Drosophila melanogaster: one gene and its partners. Changing the gene in region 3 together with the main gene of any one other region gives a genetic interaction. Each region holds a gene or a part of one and is shown on either strand. Other genes may lie near its edges.

The links. A genetic interaction does not mean that the proteins touch.
Region 1: of Nedd4 (region 3) and Septin4, changing one enhances a phenotype caused by changing the other (phenotypic enhancement), as found in Drosophila melanogaster (one study listed by BioGRID).
Region 2: of Nedd4 (region 3) and Ndfip, changing one enhances a phenotype caused by changing the other (phenotypic enhancement), as found in Drosophila melanogaster (one study listed by BioGRID).

Annotation. Positions count from the first base shown.
Region 1 is NC_004354.4:16,691,524-16,697,258, forward strand, and holds the start of Septin4 (septin 4), read right to left. Parts: upstream 3,651-5,735; 5' UTR 3,595-3,650; exon of another isoform or gene 3,091-3,594; intron 2,897-3,090; exon of another isoform or gene 2,849-2,896; 5' UTR 2,680-2,848; coding exon 2,520-2,679; intron 1-2,519.
Region 2 is NT_037436.4:17,647,631-17,656,808, reverse strand, and holds the start of Ndfip (Nedd4 family interacting protein), read left to right. Parts: upstream 1-2,528; 5' UTR 2,529-2,817; intron 2,818-6,182; exon of another isoform or gene 6,183-6,276; coding exon of another isoform or gene 6,277-6,930; exon of another isoform or gene 6,931-7,247; intron 7,248-7,562; 5' UTR 7,563-7,564; coding exon 7,565-8,368; 3' UTR 8,369-9,178. Other genes in the region: CG7484 (uncharacterized protein), read right to left, coding at 1,213-1,591, 1,909-2,027, 2,083-2,121; Krn (keren), read left to right, coding at 6,277-6,930.
Region 3 is NT_037436.4:17,527,814-17,533,958, forward strand, and holds the start of Nedd4 (Nedd4), read left to right. Parts: upstream 1-2,267; 5' UTR 2,268-2,609; intron 2,610-2,995; 5' UTR 2,996-3,033; coding exon 3,034-3,222; intron 3,223-5,692; exon of another isoform or gene 5,693-5,835; intron 5,836-5,937; exon of another isoform or gene 5,938-6,036; intron 6,037-6,145. Other genes in the region: Edc3 (enhancer of decapping 3), read right to left, coding at 1-807, 1,096-1,655. UniProt on the Drosophila melanogaster protein: Essential E3 ubiquitin-protein ligase which accepts ubiquitin from an E2 ubiquitin-conjugating enzyme in the form of a thioester and then directly transfers the ubiquitin to targeted substrates.

The DNA.
Region 1 (5,735 bases), on a different chromosome or scaffold from region 3:
GATTTCCCTAATTGCCATGAAAATTCCACTCCCACTGTGCACTGCGCACAGACGAGGTCAGAAAAGTAGAGTCGGTATTGCTGAGAAGTGAATAGTAATCAAAAACTTCAGTGCAAATAAAAGATAAACCAAAACCATTATACATTCATTTGAATTCTACTACTTGACTACTTGCTACTTTCTTGACCGCTGCTGTACAACTGCACATAAACGCCCCCACATCATGCGAACAATGAGTGAGAGAAAACATATAGTAGAACATATCGCTGACATCGGGCAAAGGGAACGACAACCACAATTGCGGTAGATATGTATGTATGTACATAGATGTGTATTCATTTGCCATAACAATGAAGTTGGCTCCTAATGAGTTTTTAAACGCTAGGCTGCGGCATTTTTAATTGGAACTAACCAACGAAAGCCTTCCATAATAAAAATTGGAACTGCAACTTGGAAAACTTGGAATGCGAAAGGAATGCACCATGGAAATAGCAAATGGAAATGGAAATGGATGACTAAACTTAGACAATCGATGAGCGTGATTTTTCCCAATGCAACTAATTGAACGCCATTTGGGGAGAGTTGACTGACTTAACACTGTATTTGATTGTATCCATTATATATCCATAATATGCCAATATTTTCAAACTGGCTTACTTGCTATAATTGGCTAGTAAACACTGTATAATCCACTAACAAAATAAAACACCAGTTGAGGTGAGCTCAGTGAAAATTTATAAATATTGCGTTTATCTTATCACGTTTTATTCTAGATGTCTGTATGTAAACATGTGTTTGCTAGTCATTGCTAGCTGAATGAAGTGAGAAAAACTATTGCTCACCAAATTGTGAATCGATTAATAAATGCATATAAAAATATTACACTCCATATGAACCGGCTGGGAATATATTCCAATTGAATTTAATGGATATTAACAAATCTTACTGAGTCATAAATGTCTTAGAACATAAGTGATTAATAATATAATAATAAGTATGATGATAACATCTTGGGATCAATGTAATCTTTTACTTTAAGACGTTACTGTGTTCTTTTAATTTTAATCAAAAATATGACCATTGAGAAGTTATTGAGATAGACATCAAATACAATTGAAAAGCTTATAATTGACCTCGTTTTCTTGCGGTGTAGCATAGTAAACATAGATTCCAATAGGTCGTTCGGCCAAGTTAGGAGGGCCGTAGCCCGATATCGGCGACACAAATGTTCATCGGCCACTAACGACATGTCAACCAGGAGAACCGTTAGCTGCGGTCACGTTGCCCACCGAAGTAACCAAGTTACCAAGTTAAGGCCAATGCCAAGTAGCCAAATGGCCAAGACCAAAGAGCCAAAGACCCAAGGCCCAGACCGATCTGCAATTGGGATTGTGCTGGGTGGTTTTGGGTGCGGCCACACTACACAAGCTGAGAAGTAGGAACAAAATAGAAAACATGGGGCAAAAAAAAAAAAAAAAATAATAATAAAATAAAAACACAGTCTACGCCTACCAAATACGGCAGTCGCAACCAACAACCAACTCAGTCCAAACTCCCCAGTCGAAAAGCCAAGAAAAAGTTGATGAAAAAAATCCAAGGCGAAAGCGAAGCCAAAACAAAGTGAAGTGGGCAAAAAGGAAAGGAAGCCGCCGCCGTCGACTTTCCTCCAAAACCGAAACCAAAACCATCGGAAAATACATACAGTATGTACATATATACATACATATATATTTGTACATATACATACGTAGTTACGGTGGCCAGTCAATTTTCTTGTCGGCGGAAAAGCAGCGAAGTGGGCCCCACGTAATGGGGCAGCCTATCGAGATCCCATATTCCAGATCCCAGTTACCAGATACCGAATGCCAAATACCAGATAAGATCGATCCAGCCAAATGCAATTGGCCCGTGGAAAAAAGGGAACCCAAATGCACTGTAAGCCAAGATGTGGAGTTGTGCCTAAATGTTAATATTATAATATTCCTAACATTCTTTAAACTAATGTCATTCGGTTAACTGGGCCTGTAGCTAATCAACCGCTTATCTTTAAAGGTCGTTCTCGTTATCAATTTGGTATGATAACTTGAGCCATGTTATGATGTAGGCTTCGTTTAGCTATGCATCATAGATATGAGTTACTAAGAAATTAATTAATAATTCCAAATAAAAGCTTAACCGAGCGAAAATGGTGGTGATCTGTTTTATCTTTCGTTGATTGATGATTTCGAAAATCTCACAAACATTACATCATTTCATTACGTTCATATTTCCAGGAATTTTACTGTGTTCAGTATTGTCTTTTTTCAGTCAAATTATGAGAATACCAGAGTTTTCTGGGAATGCGTTTTACGCATTAGAAGTAAGTAGTGCCAATACCAATACAATACAATACAACGGTGAACCCCTTTGTAAACTGCTTCATCAACCCCTTGATGTTTTCGTCTGCTTCTTTTCTGATTTTTTTTTTTTTTTTTTTTTTTACAAATTTGTGTGCAGCATGGAAAGAGGCTTTTACTTACGTTTGGGGTAAATGGGTGGTCGGCATTTAACCGCCTCAATGCCACTGCTGCTGCTGCCGTTCATCGTGCTTATGACGCTGGCCACGCCCCCCGCCGCTGTAGCGCCCATCGTGGGCGGTTGGCTGAGCGGGAGTGGCGGGGGCGGCGGCTGATGCTTCATGGTCGCCGAGGGGGGCACATTGCCGCCGCCGAAGAGGCGACGCTGCGGTAGAAACGCCGTTTTGCCGCTTGTGTTGCAAGTTGCAGGTTGCACAATCCGGTGTTGTTTTATGTTTTTGTTGTTACTGCTGCACGTTGCCAGCTGCTAGTGCTGCCACATTAAATTGACACTAAAAGTTAATATAAAATGGGCAACTAATTTATAACATAGGTAAGTACTGAAAATATATATATTTAGTTTTATTAGCGCATATTAATCGGTTATAGTTGCGATTTTTGGGGGGATTAACTCCCACACTTTAATTACTGTTTCATATTTTTGTTTAATTGTGTTCTATATATTTTTAAACCTCACATTTCATTTGCGTGCAAGTTTGTTGTTCACTAAGGGTTAAGCTTAACAGTAACTTACGTACACATGCTTATCTAGTGCTTATCTCACTCGATGAGGTGCGAGCGGGAGGGAGGGTGGTTGGGAGGCAGGCAGGGTGGGCAGTGCGAAAGAGAGCTACTAACTGCAATATTGACTTTTTAGGGTTTCTGCACACACATATGCATAATATCAAATGCATTTGCGATTGAAAACTGCATAGTCAATGGGTGGAAAACTAACGGTGCAGCTGCTTCACCTTGACCTACACGACCACAAGTAACAGTGAGATGCACAATACACTCACACACACACACACAGCGCCAAATCACCGCTCTTACACACACGAAAAATAATAATAAAAAAAAGGCTCACGCACTTTGTTATTAACTATTTCCGTTGTTTTGGTTTCCTCTTTTTTTTTTGTGGCAAAACGGTATGAAATTTCACCGAAAAAAAAATTGTCGCGGGAAATATTCCAAACTTCTAAGGGAATATTATTTACAATAACAAATATGGTTTTCTGAGCGGAGTTTTGAAACATACACTTTCCGCGCGCTTTTACTGATGCTTCTTCACCGCCGTCGCGTCGAGATCTGATTGCAATTTAGCTCTGCTCTGCTTTTCCATTTCCAAAAACATTCGAACCGAAAATACCAGCAAAAATACCGAACAAATAATACTGCTGGATGAAAGGGTCTTACTTTGCGCCATTTCACTTCAACAACTTTATTCAAACTTGAGCCTCTAAAAGTACATTTGAACAAGAATAAAATTTGTTAAAAATAAGAATGGTATTTAATATGAGTCCATAATAATAATGATATGAGTGCCATTATCTCAAAAACTAGGTAAACATTTTTTATGGCAACTACATTTTTCCTGAAATGTCCTTAAAGAAATGTCCTACGAGTGGAGATATACCCCAAAGAGTGGGGAGTCGATTTTTCTCTAAACTTAGGTCGAACATAGATAGTTAGATCTTTTTTTTTTTAACATTTTTTGCATTTATATTGTTTAGAATTCACCTATAAATAACAAAAGAATATATAAATAAAAAACTGCCCCATGTTCGATATTCCACCGTTCCGGTCAGATATCGTAATTGTATTAATGTTGTTTTTTAAAGAAATTGTATTGTAGACCGAATAGAAACTAGGAAAATGAGAGAGTTTGTTTCTAAACAATATTGTAAAAGTAGTTTACAATATACCTAAAAAATACTGAATACGCAAACTTAGTCTCTCCAATTGTGCACACTGACACAAGCTGGCAGCTGTAAAATTGCAGCGGGTGCTCAAAATGTGCAGGCTGGCAAAAGCAGAATGTCTTGAAAACCAAAAGGTTAAAAGGCTTTTCAAGAAAATTGCTTTTAAAAATTCAAAAACTAAGGAAAAAATTACAAAAAAAATAATTTTAATCAGTGATATAAATGATTAATTGTTTCAAGAAAAACTTTCGTGACTAAAACCCTTTTTCAGCCCGATTGGAGGTCGCAGCATTGGCGGCTGGATTTCTGATTTCTGGCCTCCGTAGCACACGAACAACGCGCCACAAACTCAGTCGAACTTAAACGGCGCTGGCAATCGGACGCGTTTTCGAAAACTCGCTCTCTCTGCGATTTCATTCTGGTTTTTTGGGAAAGTGTAAGCTCGATGAGATGAAAAGAAGAATCCATTGAAACGCGTAAATCTTCCTTTGTCAATTTGTCAAGCTCGCGGCATATTTGTTTCAACAAGTTTTCAGTGCTAATTTGTTTAATCGCGTAGGCTCAAAGAGAAACTACCCAAAAAAAGAGGGAGAACTTTGTTTTGCTTTCTGTTTGTTTGCATTTTTTTTATGTGCTCGAAATTGAAGCCCGGCAATGGCAGCCGCCTGGAACAATGAAAGTTGATTGAATATTTTATGCAAATTTCCCATTGCAGAAAAAAAGGTGCGAAGAACAACGAGAACAACAACAACAACAACAACATCAACGGCAGCTGCAAGAATAATAATAGAAATTGCTGTCGAGCAGAAAACTGGAAATCCAAAGGCAGCAGCAAGAAATCAGGTGAATACCGAATACCTGTCTGTTTCTCGTGGGAAAGTTTAAGATCAAGGCCAGGGGGCCTTACCAGAATGGGCTGGATTGGGCGGACATGGGCTGGTCTGGTGGTGTGGAAATTGGGTGGGTGGTGCAGGCGCGGCCTTGCGGCCACTGCCAAGGTGAAGGTCACATTGCAGGCGAATGTCGGCGGGCCTGCACTAGCATTGTTGTTATATAAACACCTCCCACTCCACAGCCCCGCAATCCAGCAGCCAAATGGCTCACTAACCCACTGCGCATGTCGCCTCCTTCGAAGGCCATCGCATGACCTCAGGCCCCGCCACGCCCACTGGCCTCCCCGCCTACTTTTTCCGCACAGCAGGGGGCATGATGATGGGGCATGTGGTACAACATACATATGTATGTACATATCCAGGCATACTCTCACAATGTTCTCAATTCATCATACACTAGTCATTAAAATGCATCACTGATAATCGCTGAAATTCTATATGCACGCAAAGTGATAAGGATTTTACATTTATATTCTAAATTTAGCAAAGCGGTTAGTCCTCGAAGCAAGATTTTTTTGAAATAATAATTTCAAACTGTAATACTTAGCTCAACAGTATTAGAATTCATTGAATAGTATAATAAT
Region 2 (9,178 bases), 120 kb from region 3:
GTTGTAGGAGCATCATAGAATTTGTAATGCATTTTTCAAAATGCTAATAAAGCTAGACGTTTACTTGCATAAATACTCTTGTATTTGTTTATATTCATCGCATCCAAATAAACTGCACGTTGCAATACTATTTATATTTAAGACATTTTTATGGAGGTCAGCTATAAAATAATCCACATTGTACAATATTTTAAGCTTTTCACAGTTTAGATCTTCCAAGCCCAACTTGAATAAATTTAATAAATATCTCCCTTTGTCAGGATATCAAACATTGCAGTTCATGTCACTTTAAAAACATTTGATCCAAGTATTCCAAAGTAGAAAGTAGTTATTAAGGTAAAAGTGTTAGGCAAGACATTATTATTAAATTGTCACTACTTTTTGGTGATATTTTCTAAGAGCACCGATCTCATTATTATATGAATATATGGTTGACTTAGGAACTGTTTGATCATGCGCGGTATCCGGATAAAAACAAGATTAAGAGAGCGGAAAGACGGCGATGTCAAGGCTGCGTCACAGATCGGAAATAGACATCAGCTACGATTTTGGCGGGCAGAAATATGCTGTTTGCCGTTTCAGTTACCACAATTACTCCAGCAGGCTGATCAAATATTGATCGACTTGAGGACCCCCACCATGTGAGCCCACTACGTCACTGCTGACGGCCACAAAGGGGGGGGGGGGGTGTGGTGTGGTGTGATGTCTTTGCGATAAGAATTTCGGCTACAATGCCGCGAATTTGTTGCCTCAGCCGGGAACTTTCCTTTGCCATCGATAACAAGATAACAAATAAAATGATTTAATTTATACTTATGAATCGAAAACTCCCACGGCGTCGCATTGCAGTAACTGGCTTGTCAGTTACTCTCAAACTGTGTCCACAGCTTTTCCGCGGTGGCGCGTAGAAAAGCTCACGCCACCTTGCAGTGGCTCTAAAAACTTTTAAAAACTAAATCTCTTTAGTTAGATTAGATCTCTCATATTACAAGCCAATTTTATGTATATCCCTGATCTTGATGTTTATATTTTTTAAATTCAGTGGCTTGACATCCCAGAAGTTTGGAGTACTAATCTCACGTCTACACATTTTTAGTTCTTGAACAGAATATATTTAACAAAATATAAATATTCAATGATTTTGAAAGAAAATGGTACGGTCTATAGTTTTGTTTCGGATTTTATTAATCTACAGTTTTGGGTATGCTTATTTTAGATCCTGTTGGTTCGCAGGTAATCTTCATCGTCATCTCCATCGGCATCCTCCACCACGCTGTACGAATTCTTGCCGGCACCATCCTTGGCCAGATGCGTTTCGAAGAACTCCTCGACAGTGTCTGTGTTCCACTTGGTTATGGACAACGTCTCCTGCACTTTGCCACTGGCATCTAGGAGCTTAACCACGGGATCCAGTCCTCTTACGTATTTGATCTGCAGGTTGGGGAACTTGGCAGGTCGGCCGCTTTGAATAAAGGCCTGAATCTGCGGATAGGCCCGGAATTTGCAGGTGCACACCTCCAGAATTGCCTTGGCATATGTCCGCTGTGCCGCCGGCTGCTGATCCAAAGTGCAGCATTGCTTACACTGAGGCCTGAAATGTTAAAAATGTTTTGGATGAATAAAAAAGAGCAATGGGCTCAAGCAGAAACTATAAAAAGTTAATATAATTTTTGTTATTAAAAACTGAAGGAAGAATCATATTTAGTCAGTGGTATGGAGGAGCTTACTAAGTCAAGCTAAGCATTTTTGGTTGGAATATTTAAAATGAGGTATGAAATTTAACCTGATCTAATTAGATTAACATATTAATTAAACAATTTTCAGGTCTTCTTATGGAATGATTATAGCATAGTTCATGGGTATCTTTACAACTCCAAAGCTAGATTAATTAAATGTTATTGAACCCACTTGATGGTATCCAATCCGAAATCATCCAGTTTTTCGCAACTGGAACACATTAACTGGGCCTTAATAAAACCCAACGCCCGGCAGTCGGCGGCCGTCAATTCGGCTTGAATTTGCTGGCACTGTAGGGTATAAAATATATATTAAAAACATGTCTTAGCTTCAGACATAACTTACACTTAAAGCCAGTAGAAGAAATATAGCACATTTATGCATTTTTGTGGCTAAATTCTAATTAAATTTACTACGTCCACGTCGTTGTTTACAAAATTTTCTTAGCTTAGTGATGAGTAGAAGGGAAAATAACATTATTTAGGCTTATCGATTATATTCGGGTTGCTTGTCTTTTCATCGTTTAGGGTATTCCGTATACTGTTTATGAATTAGACAATTAATCAAACTTTTGAACAGCTTTAATAAACTTATTATTATTATTTCTTGATATTTTTTCAGCAATTTGAAACTTTTGTCACTATAAAAGTGTACAAAATAATTTCAGGTTTTTATATTCAAGTACGCAAGTTTATTTTCCGATGTTAATAACTAATTTCATGTGATTCGATAGCTTATCACGCTTACATCCCTACAATCGATACGGACTGCCCAGCAGCTGGCCACCACTAGCTCAGAAATCGAAGATTATTCGTGGTGGTGCATTTGTTTTTTTCGCTTCGCTCGCGAAGTGAGCCCAGTTTTAAATTATTTAAATTGCGTATAGTGAAGCCACTTGAAAGCGAAACGCCTACTGTCGCAGTTCTGCCAAAAAACCAACAGTATTAGCTGTGTGCGTGTTTGGCAACAACAAGTCAACAAAATTCGAACAAAATCAATAAAACGGAAACGTGAGAGAGCGCTGCGCAAAAGAGAAAAGCGAACGCAATCGCAATCGACCAACGCATAGAAGAAAACAAGGTGAATAAATAGAACATGGCATAGAAAAGGCGAACTAGAATCAAATCGAATTAAAATCGGGTACAGAAATAGACGTGAAAAGAAAGGGCGAAGAAAGGGAAACAAATAACCGTTACAGGAGCACTCCTGGAGATTTAAGGCTCTCTCTCCCCCTCCTCAGCACTTTAGCCCCAGTTGTGCGTTTGTGTGTGTACATGTGTTTATGTTTTGTTTAGCACATTAATAATCTTAATTCTGCTAGATTTCGCCACTCAGGTGCTAAACGCTAAAAAAAAAAGTGCACACTCCGATAAGTCTACCCCTGTGTCGGTGTACTTGTTTATTTAATTCATATTTACTCAAGTAAATTAATTCATTTGCCCTTGTACAATAACAACAAGCGCCGTTTGCTTGGAAACTCGTTCTCGCAGTCGACCGCCTCCCCTCTTCGCTCCTAATCTTATTCTTTCTCTATTCCACTGCAATACCACTGCAGCTGTCGGTGCCTGTGTGTTTTTCATTCAATCCAGGAAATTGCCCCTTGAGAGACCTTCCATTCAGACAGCTCCATCTGCATCTTCTTCAGCTTCTTCCGCTTGCATCTTCATCCTCTCTCTTGTGCTCCCGGTCCCGTTTAACTGGTTTACTTTATGCTTTATTCCACTGATGCCTCCTCTATCGCCCTCTCCCTTGCGCACACCTGCTGCTTGGCAGCTGTCCACGCGCTCAAATTTCTTATCACCGAACAAACTCCGGCTGAAACCCAAAACCTGGCCCAAACTGCGTTGTTACTTTTCCACGGCAATTCCCTAATTTCCAACGCCTTTTGTCACGGCCCTGTTGCTTTCTCCCTCTCGAGAGCTCTAACTCCCTCTCCAATCCTATTTTTACATACACGCATACGCAGTAAAACTTGGCTATGACAAACCACATATTATTCTATAGATACCAAATACTGTTTTTTTAATACTGTATATTGTTAGATACAAAAACACTTTTGGAATTACAAATCCAGATGGAATTATTAAAAAAAAATATGTATATATTTTGCACAAAATTTCTCATCTGTTTCAAAGGTAATTCCATATGTGTTGACATTTAGAAATGTAAAAGCTTTTCTATTTATTTTAAAGATTCAAAAATTATTTTTAGCCGAATGCATACGCATTAAAAGCAAATCGATTTATTCGGTTTAAACATCTATTGTTTTTCAATGGAAAAACCAGTGTATTTTCCAGAGAACCTTACCTAAGTTTTTATATGTATATATTACATTGAAAATAATTATATGCCAGCTTTGAAGCATGTTAACGATAAGTGTACTTGAGCCCGATTGTTAGTGAATTCTTAAAAAATAAGAATGAGCAAAGTCGCTTTACATTGGGATTGATTGTGAAATCCTCCAAATCTTTGTGTGTCACTATAGAGTCTTATTTAAAATGATATTACCAAATGTATTGGCAAAACGCAGATAAGTTCAACTGTACAATGTGCAATCTCTCGGTTTCGTGCAATTTTGCAATTTTTCAAATGCCCGCACATCTGACTCATCCACAGGTAACTGTAATTACTGCCTAGCATCCACTTGCTTTCCGCACCTGTGGATGGTATTTGTCACCTTATCAATACGGTTTCTCTGTGTTGACTGTGATTTTAGATATTCCTGCGCACGAAAAAAATTGGACACCTCTAAATTTAATTATACAAATAGTACTGTTTATGTTTTCCTATATTTATTGAAGTATTTTAAAGTGTGTATACAAAAGTAATTATTGAGTGCATATGAAACCAAAGTCTTTTGTATTCTGATACAAAAATCATATCATATATGATATCAAAATTTATTTCTGTGTACTCTGCTGTTTGTGAGGTCAATTTTTGATAAGCCACCAGGTGCTCATTTAGCTCGTTGGCGCCTATTAGCTCATTATTCAAGCTTACGTCCGGCTCACCCACATACCCACAGATATAAAAAAAAACTATACAAAAAACCCATATATGCACTCGCAGAAATTAGGGCCAACTTAAGCCCACTCACGCAGTTTCTTTATTGGCTTGAACTATTTTTGTTTTGCTCGTTTGGCTCCGTTTATATTTCAATTGACCGAAAGGTCATCTTAATTGCATTTGTGTTTTGCGACTGTCGCACTGTCCTACTCGCACTCGCACTCGCACTCTTCTCCTGCCATTTCAGCTGTCAACTTTCACTCGTGAGCTTTGTTGTTGTTATTTTTAGACGTAGGTGCGTGCCACACATGTGATGGGAGGAAAGGGGAAATTTTATGGGGCTTAGGGCTCCGTTGAGCTTTACAAAGCAATTGGACACGGTTTAGTCCAAGGACTCGCGACTGTGGATTGAGATTCCGACTAGTGACGAGAGTCCTAGAAAATAAAAGCTAAATGCTATCTTATATATAATTGACTGTTTGAAATAAAGTACAAATATTAGATTTAATGTGCTAACATCCAAACAGGTGACGAAAGCAAAACTTTTTAAAACGAAGTGTATATTTATTATAATTGCAACTGTTTCGCTCTTCTTTCCTTCACTTCCAAGTAGAAGAATATAACTTTAGTTTTGATTAATAATGTAATATTGCATGTTTGAATAAAAAAATAGTTCAATTTCACTGACATATTTCCTAATATAAATTTAGACAGTTAAGTTGGCATGACTAGCGTTTATTGAAAGCACTTAGAAAGTTTTAATTTACGTTAAGTGGAATTCCGAAAATTAGTGTTTCTGAAAACGACACTGTTATTGTGGATCACAACTAAGGCGAGCACTAATTTGTTTATGTTTTTTACGCCCACTCAAATGGTCGCCACTCAAATGTTGCTTACAAATGATGTATTTGTTTCAGCAGAATTACTCAACATCGTTGTTTCTGTTGATCATTCGAATTATTTTGTTTATATACGCAACGGGATCAGTTACATTCTAATGAAGCTCATTCTTTCTCCGGAAAAGATCTTGTTTATAACAAGGCGTTTCGAAATCCTAAGGTTAAATCAATTTTTTATACGTTTAAATACATCTTGTATTAAACAGTTTTTATATATTGAAGTGCCTGAAGTGTTCGCTATGTTAAGTGAGAGTGTAAACAGAAAAACCAATTGATAATGAATGCAGGCTGTGCAAATGCCACAGCCGCTTGGGTTCCGCTCGCGATTCCGGCCAGGTAAATAAACGATGTCATTTTTTTGTTAAAAATTTATGAAATTCGATTTTCTGTTTCTCGTTCTCACTTAGGTCGAGGAGCATAGGTTGTAATTGTGAGAAGGAGGCGGCTGGCGGTGCTAGGCAGGCAATTAACCCACACAGACCCGAACACGAGCTTACATTTTTGATTTGTTTTTAATTGCACTTCGTTTTTGTTTTGCAGCCGCCTGCCAGCCAAAGCCAAGAATTCCACATTACAAAACACCTTAAACTGCATTGCCACATTCCCAAGTAAGCTGCCATGAGTTAAGATCAAGATGCGAGCCCAGGATCTGCTGCTGCTTGCCACCGCTTTAATCGGCGCTTACCTACCGCTCACCGCCGCCTGTTCCTCGCGTGCCATCGCTAAGCCGCGGCCAACAGCTGCACCGATCCTGCCGCCGGATAATGTGGAAATATCCACAACGCCGAGACCGAATGTCACCTTCCCGATCTTCGCCTGTCCACCGACCTATGTCGCCTGGTATTGCCTGAACGATGGCACCTGCTTTACGGTGAAGATCCACAATGAAATCCTATACAACTGCGAATGTGCGCTGGGATTTATGGGTCCGAGGTGCGAGTACAAGGAGATTGATGGCTCGTACCTGCCAACCAGGAACCGTGTGATGCTAGAGAAGGCCAGCATTGTTAGCGGAGCAACGCTGGCCCTTCTGTTTATGGCCATGTGCTGTGTGGTTTTGTATCTGCGACACGAGAAGCTGCAAAAACAAAAGCTGCACGACAGCACCACAACCACAACGACCGACGGTGGCTGTCAGAACGAGGGCATGGACGAGGTGGATGGCTTGCGACCCTTACGTCCAGTGAGACGTCCCTTTGGACCCTGCCGCATCCTATCGCTGGAGGAGGCCCACCTTCAAGCGAAAGCCTCCAATCGCCCCAGGCATTGCAACGAACTTTTGCGCTAACTAATTAGCCTGGCTGCTCATTTGTTTTTAAATGTCTAACATGTCCAACTGTTTATTTTAACTGCTAAACGAAACTATTATTTTTGCCATCTGATTGAGATGGCGAATGCCGTAGTTCTAAGTGCCTACTGACGTGCCTATAACACATTTAGATCAAGTATTAACGAACGAAAACTGATTGCTCAGAGAGAGATAAAAATAAATCTAGATATAATTCAATGCAATTTTGGCAGCTAGCCGCCCATTTATTTATTATACACCTAATTTTATTAAAAAAAAAAACGCGTGAACTAATATCGTCAATAAAAGCGAGAACTAAATCACCAGCTTTACTTTCAATTTAGATAATGCAAATTTCGAATACCTTTAGAATTTGATTGGGAATAGTTTGCACAAAATTCACCATGGCCTTGATTTTCCTTTTATTTCAGAGATGCATGTAAATACTAAACAGTTGATCTGTTAAGCTACACGAAAATAAGGATATCTTAAATTTAGTATGTAAGAAAGAAAAGAATTTCTTAAGAATCTTCTTTTCTGAGACGTCACCTTAGGCTGTCAAAAAAATTCATATGCTTTGTAACCCCTTAAGCACTGAATTAATTTTCCCGTTTTCCGTTTGTAATTTCCAGTCATGCCGCACAACAACCAGCCGTCTCCCGGGGATGATCAGTTGGGACCGCCAAAGGCGGACTTCAGTGCTCCGCCACCGTACGAGGCGAACGTTGGCCATGGCCAGCAGGTAGCACTGCCGGCTCAGATGCCACCGCTGGCCTTGGCCACACCCGATCCCAGTCAGATCCCGATACAGATGCAAGTGCAGCTGCCGAGCCAGGCGGACCTTATGAATGCACAACTGCCGCCAGAAATACACGGGAAGTTGCCCACGTACGAGGAGGTTCAAATGGAAAAGTCGCTGAACGGAGAGCTGCCGCCCGCCTTTTTGACTTTACCCTCCTCGCAGCAGCTACCGCCGCCGCCGAATCCGCTACTGCCGCCAAATCCGCTGCGCGATGGAGCCGCTGCTGTGCGATCTGCCCAGCCGGCACTCACGTTCATCGCCATCGATGCCAGCGATCCGGAAAATAGTCTGTCCACCACCGACAACTTGCTCGGCACGGACATCATGTTCATCACGGCCTTCATTGTGGCCTTTTTGTTTAACTGGATCGGCTTCCTGATGCTCACCTGTTTCTGTCACACAATCGCCGCCCGATATGGAGCATTGTCGGGATTCGGATTGTCGCTGGCTAAATGGACGCTGATCGTGAAGCACTCGACGGACTTGGCCTCGCACGAAAACTCCTGGCTCTGGTGGCTGATCTGTGCCTTTGGCTTCCTGATCAGCATACGCGCTTTAATACAGTATGTCAGCATCAAGCGATCGTGGCGCCTCCTTTCCGCCTCTGCCCAGGAACGGCTGCTATTCTTTTACTAGGTGCACCTGGAGGCTTTCCAGTGGTCGTCTTGTAAATACGTTGTGGGTGGCTAGGAGGCTCGAATGCTACCAACCAACCGATCCCAACACCCTCTATTCCCCAGACCCAGCACACGAAAAATCAACGCGAACTTATTTTGCAGAGTTCTCGAAATCACTATGGACTTGAAAGTATTCCCTCAAATGTATTAGTCAATCAATTTCTTTAAAATAGAAGTAATGTTATTCAAAAATATACTTTGTATATCCGTTTACTACACTTTCAAGTCACAAACTTATTGGGATATCTCGCAAGTCCAAAATTGCATTAGCTTTCAAGAAAGTTTCAATTTTCTTTTAAATACTAAATGTATTGAACAGTTTTACATTAAGCCAATTGTAAATTGTAAACGGTGCAGCGGCTTAGATGTTGCGAAGAAAATTCGATTTCGAGAGCTATCCGAGTTGTGGGTTATCATTTTTTGTAGTTTCTGTGTTAACTAGAGACGTTAAAAATGTGTGTTAAAAAGTGAAAGGCGAATGCATCTTCGCATCTGCTCTCCCCCAATCGATTATAATTGTAAATGTATGTGAAATGTGTATGGATATATAAATATCTCACCCTAATTGATCCCTCTACACCCCCACAAAATCTCCCTAGGCCTTTTAGTGGCGCCCATGCACTTGAAACAAAGACACAAAACAAACCAAAAAATAAATGGGATACAAAATTATAAAGGGTCGAGATAGAAAAGTATGCCACCCATATCTTTTGTTGAGCCCATTTTACGCTGTGGTACTTAATTAATTAACTACACAAGAGCCAGCAGT
Region 3 (6,145 bases):
GCTCCGCGCGCCAAAATGTCGATCTGCCTCTGCAGAGAGAGGCCCGCCTTATCGGCACTTATCTCGATTTTATTCCGAACGTAAGCCGGAATCGTCGGTATAATGAGACCGTCGTCCGTCACAAAGTCCTGGCTGCCGCCGAACATGCTTTCGATCTGGCGCAATTGTAGTGGTTTGCTGGCCAGGATGTTCTCGTCGTGCCGATACTTCTGCTCTGGCTTATGATGATGATTGTTCACAATGTGCCGCACCACATCTGGTTTTTGGGTCGTCGACTCGATGTCGTCCCAAATTGCCTGCTTGTCGAACAGCGCTAGATTGCCCTCAAAATCGAAATCCTCGTGGATCAGCGGATCGTCCGCCTCGCTGCCAAAAGTCAGTTGCACCTGTTGCTGCCGCATGCTGCTCTCCCTTCGCACCCTGTTCCGCTTGTTCTTCCCGTTGCCGTTGCCATTTCCATTGGTATAAGAACCATTTCCGGTGCCATTTCCATTGTTATTGGCATTGCCATTCCTTCTTACATTTCCATTTGTATTCCCATAGCTCGAGGCTGCCGTCTGCTTGTAAAATCCATCTCCGTTGCTGACGATATCTATGGGTTTGCTGCTGCCCAACGACAAACCAGTTGCCTCGCCGCTATCTCCGCTGCTGCTGCAGTAACTCTCCCGGGTGTTGCTCACGTAGGAGCCCAGTTTCACCTCGACCTTCGGCGGTATCATGTTGCCAAAAAAGGCGGCCACGCTGTTGGGAGTCGTTGATATCTGCGGCTGCTGCTGAGCGCTGGACGCACGGGATGTTTGTGGTGTTCTGGATGACGAAACAAATATAAAAGTTAGATGAAACCTATTTTAAATACGACGCTCAGTTGGCACAAGACCTATCTGAAACGACTGTTGCTTTTTATCAGTAATAAAGGTAATTTACTCATTTCGTATCTCAAGGTTGGTAAGTTTAAACATAAAGATGGCTTCAAAATGAAATGAAATAAACACAATCGTGCTGACTGCAAAAATCTTCATACTTTTTTTTTTTATAAAGAGCTAACAATTAATTTAAATTATTGGCATTGCACAATCGTTTAATGGGCCATATTACCTAAGGGTGCCATTTGAGCCGTTGGTCTCGATTAGCTTCAGCTGATGCATCTTATCGCTTAGCGCCGAATTGAAGTTGCCACGTGGGCCCGAAGAACTCGATGCTCCGCCAGCCGCTACCCGTCCATTGTCGTTGGCCCTTGACCGCGGCGTCGATGGCAGATCCTGTTCTCGTTCCTGCTCCTGGAACTGCTGTTTCTGTTGCTGCTGGAGTTGTAGCTGCTGCTGCTGCTGCTGGAGTTGGAGCTGCTGCTGCTTGCCCAGGATGTTGGAGAAGTGGGGCAGCTTGACGGGCGTGGGCTTGTTGACCACTGGCGGCGGCGCCGTGTGCCCATCCAGATCTTGCTTTGCGGGCTCGATGAGATCGATGCTGCGAATGTCCGTGCACTTGAGGACCACCTCGGCGTTCTGCTTTCGCAGCGGCACGCCATTGCGGAAAGCCCTCACAATGGTGATCTCCTCGGCAGAAATCTGCTTGATCAGGCCCTGGAAGACGCCCAGGACCTCGTCGCAGGCTATAGACACTGCACAGCCGATCCAGTCTTGATCCGTCGGACCCATGTAATCAGTTTTCGATACTCCCTTTGCGAATGCGACAACACGTTGGATCGGCTTGTTCTGCCCTGGCTAATGGTTGTTCGAAATGTTTGCTGGCCCGCGCAGAGCTGCTTGTTGTTTTCGTTTCTAATACGCAATTTCGCCACTAACTAACTACGCACCACGCACCTCTCTTCCTCTTCTTCCTGCTGCTGCACCGCCGTTGATTCTAGTGTTTTGTGGCTTAAAGTCGGGTGTTTTTGAATTATTTGGCTCTGCGGTCAAGGGGTTCGGTATTTTGTCTCTTTTAATCAATAAATGCACCAACCGTTGCAACACATTGACGCTAAAACTTATTGGATTTCTCGTTTCATTGGGATTTTCACTGCTTGCGTGTGGCCGTTCGTTGGTGTTCAGATAATACCGAACAATACCCAAACTAGCTGCGTGGCAAATTAGTTTACTTAATAAATTTATAATAATATACATATTTATAATAACTACAAATTTCATGCTTTACGGAAACTTCACCTTATTTTGATAAATATTTGGTTCAATAAAAGCCTGCGAGCCATTTTATGAATTTAACAAGTGCTTCCCTTAACTGTTAAGGCTTCTGGGTGCTGTGGTATGTTCTCAGTGCGCGTACACGGTCACTCTGGCAGTTTTGTTCTCGATTTTGTCGCCGTTTTGTGCATTTTTCCCGTCCGGTGTTTAAATTTTATTTAATACTGCGCGTGCGACATATATACAGGCACCTATAGCCGACCGATATCGGCGATTAAGGCATGTGCGCCGCCGAAGCGGTCAAAGTGATAATCGCTTGAATAGTGAGCAGTGTAGAATTTGCCGTGTGATAGAAGTACGTGATGATTTTCCGCAAATAGTGGATAAAGGCGAGCCCACACGCATACCACCGCAAAATATATACATAAATCGGGCGAAAATATAGTGGCCCGTGTTTGTGCGTGTGTAAACGTAAGTGGAAAACTTGGGCGAAACTTTATGCTAACCATAAATGGTCTACAAAGACATGGCTTCGCGCCTGGCTAATTATCAAGAAAATGTTTGGCTTTTGTGCTCTATCACCCACACCTCATTCACACAACACACACACTAGAAACACGCTTGCACGGGGGCAGGGCGGCAGACAGAGATGGCATCTAGCACAAGTACCGTTGTTCACTTTGTTTGCTGTCTTTGTTGTCTGTTCGCTTTTCTTTCCTTCGCTTCTGTACACCCTTCCCCCTCTTGTTACCTTATGGCAGCCTCCTCTTCTTCTTCTTCGTGTCATTTATCGCTTAATTTGCACTTCCGCTTTGCACATATTCACCCTCTCTCCTTCCGTCATTCTTTCATTGCAGAAGCTTCTCTAAAAGAAACAAACAACAACAACACAACAATGTCGGCACGTTCCAGCGGCTTGGTGGCCGCGGCGGCCCTTCCCGTCCCGTCGTCTTCTTCCTCGGTGGCCGGCGGCGACGTGCCACGCCCGCCGCCCCGCCGGCGAGCGGCCTCTGTTGCGGGACAACAGCAAACGCGCCAGGAATTTGGAAATGGTTACACTCCTCGCAGATCGTTGGCAGCAGTGGTAAGTTTACATAAGTGCAGGTGACGACGAAAAGAGAGAGCTTTACCTTGAAGGACAACTTAGGAACTCTTCTAACATCTTAGGAATTTTGTAGGAGCACCTTATGGTTACAACCTTATTTCACAACGCATCCAACTCTGATTGAAAAATTTCATTCCATTTTTGATAAAGCCAGTTAACTAATTATGGGTTATATAAACGCGTATGTATCAAATTAAGTTATCATAACACCAAATAGTGACCGTGGCACCTATATGTTTATCAATTTTTAATAGATAGTAAGGTATTACTTACTATGACATCTTATAAGATACTCTTATCAATTGTTTTGGTTTCGTTGCAAACTGACTAATCAATAAATGTATCTCATTTTAAAGGGCATACCGAAATGTTGTCTTATCAAAACTAAGCCAACCAATTCCTATAACCTTTTATAAGGAATTGCCCACAATGTATCCACCATTTTGTTGGTGTGAAGATTTGAAAAGTATTTATCAACGGGTGGTGCTGGGGGATTTGGTCGCCCTTATCAGTGCCTCCGCTGTATTTAGTGTTTCCATTTTTACGATGTTTTCACTACTAATCTAATCTGCAGATTGCCAAACAGCTGAGTCGTGTAGATGGGCCATGTAGATTTCACTCCCCTCATGGATGATAAAGTGGGATATATGTATGGTGGGAAAAGTAGGGGATCTACAATTCCTTCAGAAGCCGAAAAGCACGAAAAACTTACGAACTGTTCTTATCCAATACCTAGCTTTTACGGTGTAAAGGTCGTTGCATTTCGTCAACCATTAAGTTAGATGTAGTTGTATTTCAGGAGTGACTTCCATAAGTCTTTTTTTAGGAGGGCCTTTAATACAGCACATTACATTTTATCGTTTAGTCATTGTTTGCTTGTACCAATTACTTTATAATGTTAAAGAAAAAGTAGCTTTTTTGCGGATTTTTTAAAATCGAATAACATTTCTTGACTTGCACTTTCCGAAGAGCAGAAAAGTGCCAAGAAAAGTATTAGGAAGCCGCCAGAAAATAAACTGGCATCATCGTTGTTTACTTAGTGTCTGGAATGGGCTTTTCTATTGTTTTGCTCACTTGTATAAACAAATAATTCGCTCGCCATCTCAGGCCGAACGGAAACTAAACTAATTTATTTATCTTAATTTGCCAAAGATGCTAGCCACTTGAGCAGTCATCGGCATCTTCGAAGCTAATTTAATTTATCAACACAATTCTTGGCCGCCGCCTCTTGAATGTTGTGTGTCTACACTTTATGGTTTTCTGGCTGCACAGAGAGAAAAATATTGTTTTAACTTTTAATACCTAGGCTATGTTTAATGGTTTATAAAAGTATTTTAATTTCTAACAGAACTCGCAGAATTATATTATTCATAGTTTCTAAACGTATTATGAACTGACATTTTGTTTTGTGTTTCTTTTACTTTCTTTTTTAGTATCCCAGTGTTGGTTGTTTGCTCTGTTTGCTTTCACTCAATGAGCGATTATTTGACGGCACTTCAATTCTGTTTGTCGAACTCATTGAAGCGTTGTCAGAATGGCTCGAAATTCCTGTCCAAAAAGTGGGAGGTGTATGAATGAATGGCTTATCTTCATTAGTGCTTTTTTTGCCGCAAAAGTTGTATGCCCCCGCTAATTGAGCTCTGTTATTTGGGTTATTTAATCCAATTTGCACGTCAGCCGGCAAGCGGTGACGTCGGCCAATCGACGCACTTGTAAGAACAGTCGACGTCACAATTGCCTTAGCGGATAGCCTTAATGGGCCGCTTATCAGTCAACAGCTGGTCAATTACATCCATTGAATCCATTGCGTCAGCAGTCAGAACATTCTCATGTCTATTATAAGTGATTATACGCTATTTAGCTGAACATTATTAATGGAATTGGAGGGATTCCCAGCCCAAAATACAAATTTCACACAGATACGCACGCACACATAGATAGTCCACTCACATCAACGCACGGCGCAGCCGATCAGCTGTTTTTGTTTTGTTTTGCTTAAAGACACTTGTTCGATGGCAGCTGTCAACAGTGGGAGTGAGAAAACGCGAGAGGAAGACAAAAAGAGTACAGGGCTAAGCTGTCATTTTAAAAAGCTTTCAGCCAACAGCTTGTAGCTGGGGCTTCAGTGTTGAAAAATGTGTTCAGTACTGTTTTGGTATTTTTTTTTTAAGATTAAAAACTTTCCTTTTTATGGTTAATTGGAGCACTTTTTGTGACAATTCATTAAAATATCTATGCATGAGTATTGCAAGTCCACTTCGTATTTTGCTTTTTAATATATTAATATTAGAATTTTTCCCGGAGAAGCCGACCATGAGGTAAATAATTTACTCCGTTCCATCGGTCACACTAGACCCAATGAAAGCTCCGCAATGGGGCAACCTCTTGGCCCGAACGCGCTGGCCACACTTTTCAGTGGAGCTGCCTTCATTTTAGCTTAGAACGCGAAAGCGCCAAGTTCCGTGTTTTGCGCTGCGGCTGCCGACAAGTGTTGCTGTTGCTGTTGCGCTCGCACCCACGACCGCACACACACTCGCTGCGGGAGCGAGCGAGAGAGGCAGACATTTACGCAGAACATGTTTTCGCAATAGTGTTGGTGTGCCGTTTGTTATTGTTGTTATTGTTTCCATCGTTTAGGGCCGTTAATAAAAGATAAATAAGTGAATAATTGAATTATAAATATTGTAGAGTGTACCGCCACACACACACAAATCGCTGGATTATATAGATAAATTTATTGCACAGTACCCCTGAAATGTGTTAATTATATAAAAAAAAAAGCAGTAAATAAGCGTACGTACCGTAAAGCAACAGTTCTCGCTCGGCACAATCGAGAAATCTCGAAATCACATCAAATGCAGAAGCATTTCCCCATTTCTTTCGCATTTTTCGCGGGGCCCTA